Linked DNA regions of Ovis aries. The protein of the gene in region 1 interacts with the protein of each later gene in a biochemical or structural test. Links are inferred from orthologs where the notes say so. Each region holds a gene or a part of one and is shown on either strand. Other genes may lie near its edges.

Region 1 (3,500 bases):
GCAGCTAATAAACGTCAGGGCTTGTGTTAGATCCTTGACTTCAAAGTCTGTGGTCTTTCTACTATTAAAAAACACTCAGAGCTTCTCAGCCTGATCTTTTGGGCTGGATAATTATTTGTTGTGGAAGTGTCCTGTGTACTGTAAGGTATTTGCAGTATCCCTGGCATCTACTCTGTACTGGCCAGTAGTGACCCCCGGCGCAAGTTGTAAAAACCAAAGATGTCTCCAGACATGACCAACTGCCCTCAGAGGGCAAAATTGCCCTCCTTTAAGAACCATGGATCTAAGCCATCCTAGGATTTTATCTGAGGTTTATAAATTTCAAATCGCTTCCTTGCTTCACTCTGTCCACCTGCTGTCACTTGCCTCTGTAAATAGAATGCTCACCTACAGAAATTAACACCTTGTTTCTAAAGTGTCATCTGAGGACTAGCAGCAGTGAGAACATTCAAGGCTATACTAGAGATTCAGAATCTTAGGCCACTCCCCACAATCAGTATCTGCATTTTTAACATGATTCCCAGGTGATCCACATACACGTTGTAGTTTAAGAAGCACTCATCTTTCAAATCAGGCCAAAGCCCGCCTGCAAGTGTACAAGGAGGAGGACTGGAAGAAGACACACTCAGATGACCCCTTATAAGCTCTTCGAGAGTGGTTCTCTTCCATTTTCTGCCATAGAGAAGCATATGCCAGTAGGGCATTCCTACTCATCAGCCTCTGAACCAGCCTTGCCCACCCTAGTCTTTCACTGGACCTATAAAAACAGGCAATGTAATGTTTCTTAGTCACTCCCATTCTCCATTCCCAGCCATCTTGCCCTCAGTCCTGACCCCCAGTCTTCCCACTCCTTCATTGAGGACAGCTGCTGCCTGCAGCTACTGTCCATTGCAGAGTCAGCATCACCAGCCCTGACCTCCCATTTCTCTAGTCTCCCGTCCTCAGTAGTCTCAGGGACACCTTCCCACGACTGGCTACAGACACCTGAGCACACGGCAAAATCCACTGGTACTTCTGCCTGGGATGGCACTTTTCCCAGTTCCCCCGTGGCACAGTCCTTCTGCCCATGTCGTCTCCAGGAATCTGTCAGTTTCTTCTGACGTTTCTCTCCATTCCAGGTAGACATCTGATGTCTCTCATCTCTTTCTTCTTAGCATTTCTATATATGCATCTTTCTTTGTAGTATTTCTGAGATCTGCCCCTTCCTTTCCATTTCTACAACCCATCTGGTATTTCTAAAAGTCCAAGGAAGACCACCTTCGTTACAGTCACCTTGAGCTTCACTCATTAAAAAAGGCCAAGTCCCAGGACCTGCCCCAGATCTACTGAATCAGAATCTTTCTGGTGAGACCAAGGAGATGCTCGTTTTTAACAAGCATGCCACTCCAGGAGATTCTTCTGCTTGCTAAGGTTTGAGATTGCCACAGCCTGATCCAGACCCTTATCAACTCATGCAAGGAACAGCCTTCTAACTCCTAACCCCTCCTCCCAGCCTACCACATGTGTACCTAGTAGGAATGGCTTTCTCAAATCTCTGTCATCATCTGTGACTCATTTACTCAAGGACCAAGAGTGGATCCAATTAAGATTCAAATATTTCAGCCTGGCCTACAAAGCCCTTATTAGCTGACCCCAGTTTAACCGACTGTCTTCCTCGGTAACGCTGCAAATGCCACTGGAACCCGGGTGCGCAGAGTTCATACATTGTTTCTGTTTCTCCCACCTTGTGCATATGATTATTTCCACCTAAAATGTGTGCCTTACTCTTCTTCAGAAGTATGACAAAGTAAGGGCCAAGTGTAAATCGAGTGAACATCCCTCCCACTTTTCAAAAGTAAGTCTTAATAAAAATAAATTAATCCTAATGCCCAATGTGGTTAAGAAAAGAAAAGAAAAATAAGTGAAACTTGTTTCTAATGGCCTGACACTTGGATATAGAACCCAAAAGTCACCATCACTTCTTGCTAGAGCTACTTAATTTTGGTAAATGTTAGGAAAACAAAATAGATTTTTAAAATAGGATAACATGGAAGATATTTCAGTTCCACCTTCTAGATTTGTTATTTGAAAGTCTGGTTCTCCAAGCCTAATTTTTTTCTAACCTGGGTCCTCCAGGACACCTGCTCTTCAGGAACACATGGCATCTAGGCATTCTTTGATCCTTCTCAATAATCCGTGCCCACCTTTTTGTTTGTATTTTTGGAGAATTTCCTCCCAAAATGGATACAACCTTTGCTTTTTCTGATTATAAGAAAAGGAGTATGTTTTGAAGTACATATATATGTGAATAGCACTGCAAAAGAACCCAAAAAAGGAGTGCTGAACTCCTTGTATTACAACCAAAACCAAACAAAATGTGCACGTAGTGACATGAGCACTGAAAACACTGCGTGAGTCAGACAGAGCACAGTAGGAGCTCTCGAGTCTTTTCCATAAGACTGTGAGCCTGCAGTTTACAGCCCTAGTTTAGTGGATAGCTGTACCCAACACCGTTCTCCATTCACTCGCCGTTTTCCTAATGCTCCCGGTGCAGGTGCTGAACCTGTTTCTGGCCTTGCTTCTGAGCTCATTCAGTGCTGACAACCTGGCGGCCACAGACGACGATGGAGAAATGAACAACCTGCAAATCTCCGTGATCCGGATCAAGAAGGGCGTGGCGTGGATCAAGCTGAAAGTGCATGCCTTCATGCAGGCCCATTTCAAGCAGCGCGAGGCCGATGAAGTGAAGCCTCTGGACGAGCTGTACGAGAAGAAAGCCAATTGCATCGCCAACCACACCGGCGCCGACATCCACCGGAACGGTGACTTCCAGAAGAACGGCAATGGCACCACCAGTGGCATCGGCAGCAGCGTGGAGAAGTACATCATCGACGAGGACCACATGTCCTTCATCAACAATCCCAACCTGACCGTGCGAGTGCCCATCGCCGTCGGCGAGTCCGACTTTGAGAACCTAAACACAGAGGACGTCAGCAGCGAGTCGGATCCTGAAGGCAGCAAAGATGTAAGGTCCCAGCCGAGAAACCTGTCTTGATCCTATGTAAGAACAAATGATCAGCCTGGGGACTGGTCCAGCCATGGGCCTGGCAGAGAGATTTTGGAATAGCCAACTCTCAACTTTGAACTTTTGGGCTTCCCTGATGGCTCAGACAGTAAAGAATCCGCCTGCAATGCAGGAGAACTGGATTCAATCCCTGGGTCGGGAAGATCCCCTGGAGAAGGGAATGGCCACCCACTCCAGTATTCTGGCCTGGAGAATTCTGTGGACAGAGGAGCCTGGCAGGCTGCAGTCCATGGGGTCGCAAAGAGTTGGACAAGACTGAGGGACTTTCACTTCACTTTCAACTTTGAGAACCAATTCTACCCACCCCCAGATGAGCTAAATTCCTGAGATGTTCCCAGATCTGCCTCTCTTGCTTCTGAGTCATCTGGATCAGAGGCTGGAGGAAACCCTCGGGTTCTTCCCTGCCATCAGTCTGTCTGAGCTGTACCACTGGGAC
Region 2 (4,267 bases), on another chromosome or scaffold:
ATGTTGAGGACATCAGCATTTAACTTTCAAGCTTCTTAACTTAAATAAAATTTGCTGGAATTAAATTCCTCTTCTACCATGTTTAAAAATCAACTGACATTTTCCGAAAGGGTTAAGGATATTGGATACAAATTTGACACCTCAAAATCCTTCTTGCATATTAGAAAACACTAGCATGGAAGGTTGTTTATTATATTTTCATATTTTAGTAATTGAAAAGTAAGTAGTTAAATTTCTTTAAAATCAGTTTCTATCAGTCTCCAACAACATAAATCTACATCTATTTGTTTATAAGATAGCTTGGTATCCCATGCAGAAGAGGTAATAGTTTTAATCTTTTGAAATTAAGACAGAGCTTAATAAGCTGGCATAACTTGAAGTCCTTTGCCTAACAACAGTGAAAGTGGTGAATTTTACTTTTTTGAAAATGCTCAGCACACAAATATGAAATTGTAACATTTATTAATTCTGATTAGGAAGTACACTGGAATTTGTTATATGATTCTTAGTAACAGTTTGTATTATCTTGTATATATTTCCTCAAATGAGATAAAATAAATAAAAAAACACTGCCCTAAATGTTTTCATTTTTCTGGGAAATTAGGAAACTGGGTTACATCTTGAGAAAAGAAAAAAATTTGCCCGTTTTGTTCAGTTAAATGGTGGCGGCAGGTGACAAGTTTGTAGACAAGCGTAGATAACAGAATAAGGATGAATTTAATGTTAGTTCAATTAATGAGTGCAGAAAAAAAGCAATGAATTAGTGTGCGAATCAAGCAGAGTGCTTTCTGTACCAAAAAAAAAAAAAGTATTTGAAGATCATGGGTTGTCTAGAAAAGGCAGAAATATTCCCATTTACATATGACTCTCCTCAACAAAGTATAGCTTGTCACCCTGATCTTAGTGATTGCTCTTTTAACAGGCAGTACCTGCAAGTACATACTTATCATATGCCTAGCTTATATTTTTCCAGCAGCTCTTCAAGTAGGATTCAAGTAAGAACTAAAGGAACTTGAGTTTTCCTTAAGGTTTTAGATGCTTTTCAGGCTGTTTTTGGAAAGTGTTAGGTGCAACTAATGTTGGCCGAGGAGTGGTCCTAAACTGCTGTTTCCGCTTAAACCCCTGCCTCCGGTCCATCCCATGTATTTTTGAAGGTTTGCTAATTATCATCAATTCTCCTTTTCAGAATTCACTTTGAAAGAGAAGTCTGTGTTAGCTGGCTTCGGAGGGCAAGCAGCAAGCCTCATCAGGCCGGGAGAGGAGGGAGGGGGTCGAATGGTGGGTTGGGGCTGAGTGCTGGTGGTGCGGGGCGGGGGATACTTCGAGAGGGGAACCGGCGGGGAGACTGCAGTGATACTGCCCTCCCCGGGCGGGTGCAAGCATCTCACTGGTGACGGGTCTGAAAGCACGTGGCTACGTCATGGAAAGCCAGTCTTTTCAATGCAAACTTCAACTCCTCCTCCCTTTAATGCCTGTAACTCACATCCGAGGCTGGGCGAGGAATCCGGAGGGGAGATTTTCCCCATGCTCACCGTTGTTGGAAACTGGCGGAGCGCGAGCCAGGAGCCAGGGGGTCCGTGGCGCTGTCTATCTACTACGACCAGCCTGCCCAGGCACCTCAATTTGCATCTTTTCTTCGTGGTGATTGAGAACTGCAGGTTCTATCCGATCCCACTGAGCACCGGCGATTGATTATTTAAAAAAAAAAAAAAATCGACACAGAGAAGGGAGGCTGTGTCTTCGGCTGTCAGACTCGGAGGTGGTATCGGGGTGTGTGTGTGCTGGTGGTGGTTTTTTCTTTTCAGTTTCCTTTCCTTTTTCTTTTTTTCTTTTTTCTTTCTTTCTTTCCTTTTTCCTTTTTTTTTTTTTTTTTAAATCTTCTCTCCTAGGGACAACACAATGGCAGTCTTCTCTCAGTGAGACGAATCCTGCTTAGCCTCCTGCAGACTCACTCATCCTCATAGCGATCAAGTAAAAAGGCTATGGTTTTCTCTTCGGGGATCTTTTGTGCATTCCTGTTCTCCTTGATTAACTCTGCTCTCAGTTGGGATTTCTTTGCTTTTTTGTTTGTCTTCACGCTGAAAAAGGATTTTTTGGCCAACCCTTTGGTAATAATCCAGTGGTGATCAAGGGGGATAAAATCGTTCACCCTGGCCGAAAAAAAACAATCACTGAGAAGTCTCAAAGAAATACACCACGTGAGGGGAAAAAACTGGGAGAAGATCCGGAATATCATCGTTTTTCCTATGGTAAAACCGGTGCCCCTCTTCAGGAGAACTGATTTCAAATTATTATTATGCAACCACAAGGATCTCTTCTTTCTCAGGGTGTCTAAGCTGCTGGATTGCTTTTCGCCCAAATCAATGTGGTTTCTTTGGAACATTTTCAGCAAAGGAACGCATATGCTGCAGTGTCTTTGTGGCAAGAGTCTTAAGAAAAACAAGAACCCAACTGGTAAGCAAAACATGCATCATGTTATGTTTTTCCTCCTAATAACCTGTCTGTTGCTCACTGAGCTAGATCTGCAGTTCTGCTATGCAGGAAGGCAGGGGAGACAGCAAAGGACCAGGACAGTATAGTGTATAGAGCTATTGCATGGATAAACAAGGAACAGCTGGATCCGCGTCTCTGAGCCCCCAAACCCGTGTCAGCATCCCTTGGCTGTGACACAATCCATCACTCGGAGGGAGGAGGAAACTTTTTTTTTCTTTTAAATTAATGTATCTGGTTGCCGATGTTTGGTGAAGTATTGAAGGGTTTATAGCTTAAGGTTTGGCCCGAGGCAGCCGAAGCTTCGTTCTTTGCCAGGAAAAAGAAGCCGAGAGCTCCGCCGACTTGTGCTGCAGGCTTCGGGGAGACCTAGCTCGGCTCCGAGAACCTGCTCGAGACTTTCTGATTAGCTTGCACAGTGTCCGCCACCCCATCACCTTTACCAAAGTAGAAGGGGCTCCCCCTCCCGCGCGGCCCCCGCCTCCCGCCCCCGTCTAGCTCGCCGTGCCGGAGTTCTAACTCTTCTCCGGTTTTCTGTCTCCGACACCTCCTGTCACTGGGGACACCTGAGCGGGGCTCCTGTTGGGAGGGAACCCCACACCGAGCCGACGAGCCCGGTCTCTCCCTTTAATAAAGCAGTGTCCTCGCCCCGCATCTGGGTCCCCAGGGTGGGGTGCGCCTGGCTCCGGGTCCCTGCTTCAGCCTCGCGGCGATCGTGCGCCCCCTTTCCAAAATGCTCCAACCGGGACGCTTGCAGTACGTTATATAAGAAATGCAAATGCAGGTGATTCGGGGGAGTCGGGTCCCCGGGGCTCACTTCCCGGGATTTCAGTCTGAGGCGTTTGGGGGCGGCCGCGGAGCTGTGGGCGAGTCGCCCTGGGGAGGCCATGCCGGAGGACTGCGTGGTGGTGGCGGCGGCTCGCGGGCGCGGCGGGTCCGAGAGCGCGAGCGCTGGAGGCGGAGGGGCGGGGGGGGGGGGGAGGTGGTGCGGTGTGCGGTGTCCCCCGGTTCGGCCCAGGCCGGGGAGGGACCCGGGGGCGGGAGGCCGGTGTTTGTGTCTGGGGGCCGTGTTGGGGGACGGGGGCGGGGCCCTGGCCGTCCTGCCGCGGCAGCCCGGGGCGCCCGGGGCTCCTGACGGCGGCACTGCGGTGTAGTAGATCATGGCTTCCCGCGGGCACCCTGACACTGCGAGCTCCGCCGGGGGCGCGCTGGCACCCGGAGCCCCGCCGGCCGGGCGGCAAGTGGCGGCCGCCTCCCTGCCTCCGGGGCTGGCTGATGCAGCGTAGCTGGGCGGCGCGAGAAGAGGGGGAGGGGGAGGGGGAGGGGAGGAGGGAGGGGAGGAGGGGTGGGGAGGTGGGAGGAAGGCTGGGTGGGCGGGGATGGAGGGGTGGATGCGGAGGCTGGGTCCCCCTTGTGGCCCCCTGTGCTGCTGGTCCAGAGGGCAGGTGCTTGGACGCAGGGAGGACGCCTGGCAGCTGCCTTCTGCCGGGACCTTTGGGTGGCAGTTGAGGGAAGCTCTGGGCGGCGGGGTGCTGCAGTGGCCCCCTGCTTCCGACCTGGAGTTCTCAGCTCCGTGCTCGGTTTAGCTTGACCGGCTTTCTCTCCGTCCCCCTCTCCTCTTTGTCCACCACCCGCTCCATGCCCTGTCCTTCCACCCTCGTCTCTCTTAACTCCTCCGTATTTAGCAACTCTGAGATGGTACCACCACCCTGAGCATCACCCAAGGAGAAAGCAGTGTGGTCACCTCCCCAGCCGCATTTCCAATTGGGCGGTGAGC

The links.
Region 2: the proteins of SCN8A (region 1) and FGF14 form a complex in vitro, tested with the Homo sapiens proteins (2 studies listed by BioGRID). The link is inferred for Ovis aries from reciprocal best matches to the Homo sapiens genes SCN8A and FGF14.

Annotation. Positions count from the first base shown.
Region 1 is NC_056056.1:134,531,534-134,535,033, reverse strand, and holds part of SCN8A (sodium channel protein type 8 subunit alpha), read left to right. Parts: intron 1-2,533; coding exon 2,534-3,004; intron 3,005-3,500. UniProt on the Homo sapiens protein: Pore-forming subunit of a voltage-gated sodium channel complex assuming opened or closed conformations in response to the voltage difference across membranes and through which sodium ions selectively pass along their electrochemical gradient.
Region 2 is NC_056063.1:78,110,703-78,114,969, reverse strand, and holds the start of FGF14 (fibroblast growth factor 14), read left to right. Parts: upstream 1-1,467; 5' UTR 1,468-2,246; coding exon 2,247-2,454; intron 2,455-4,267. UniProt on the Homo sapiens protein: Probably involved in nervous system development and function.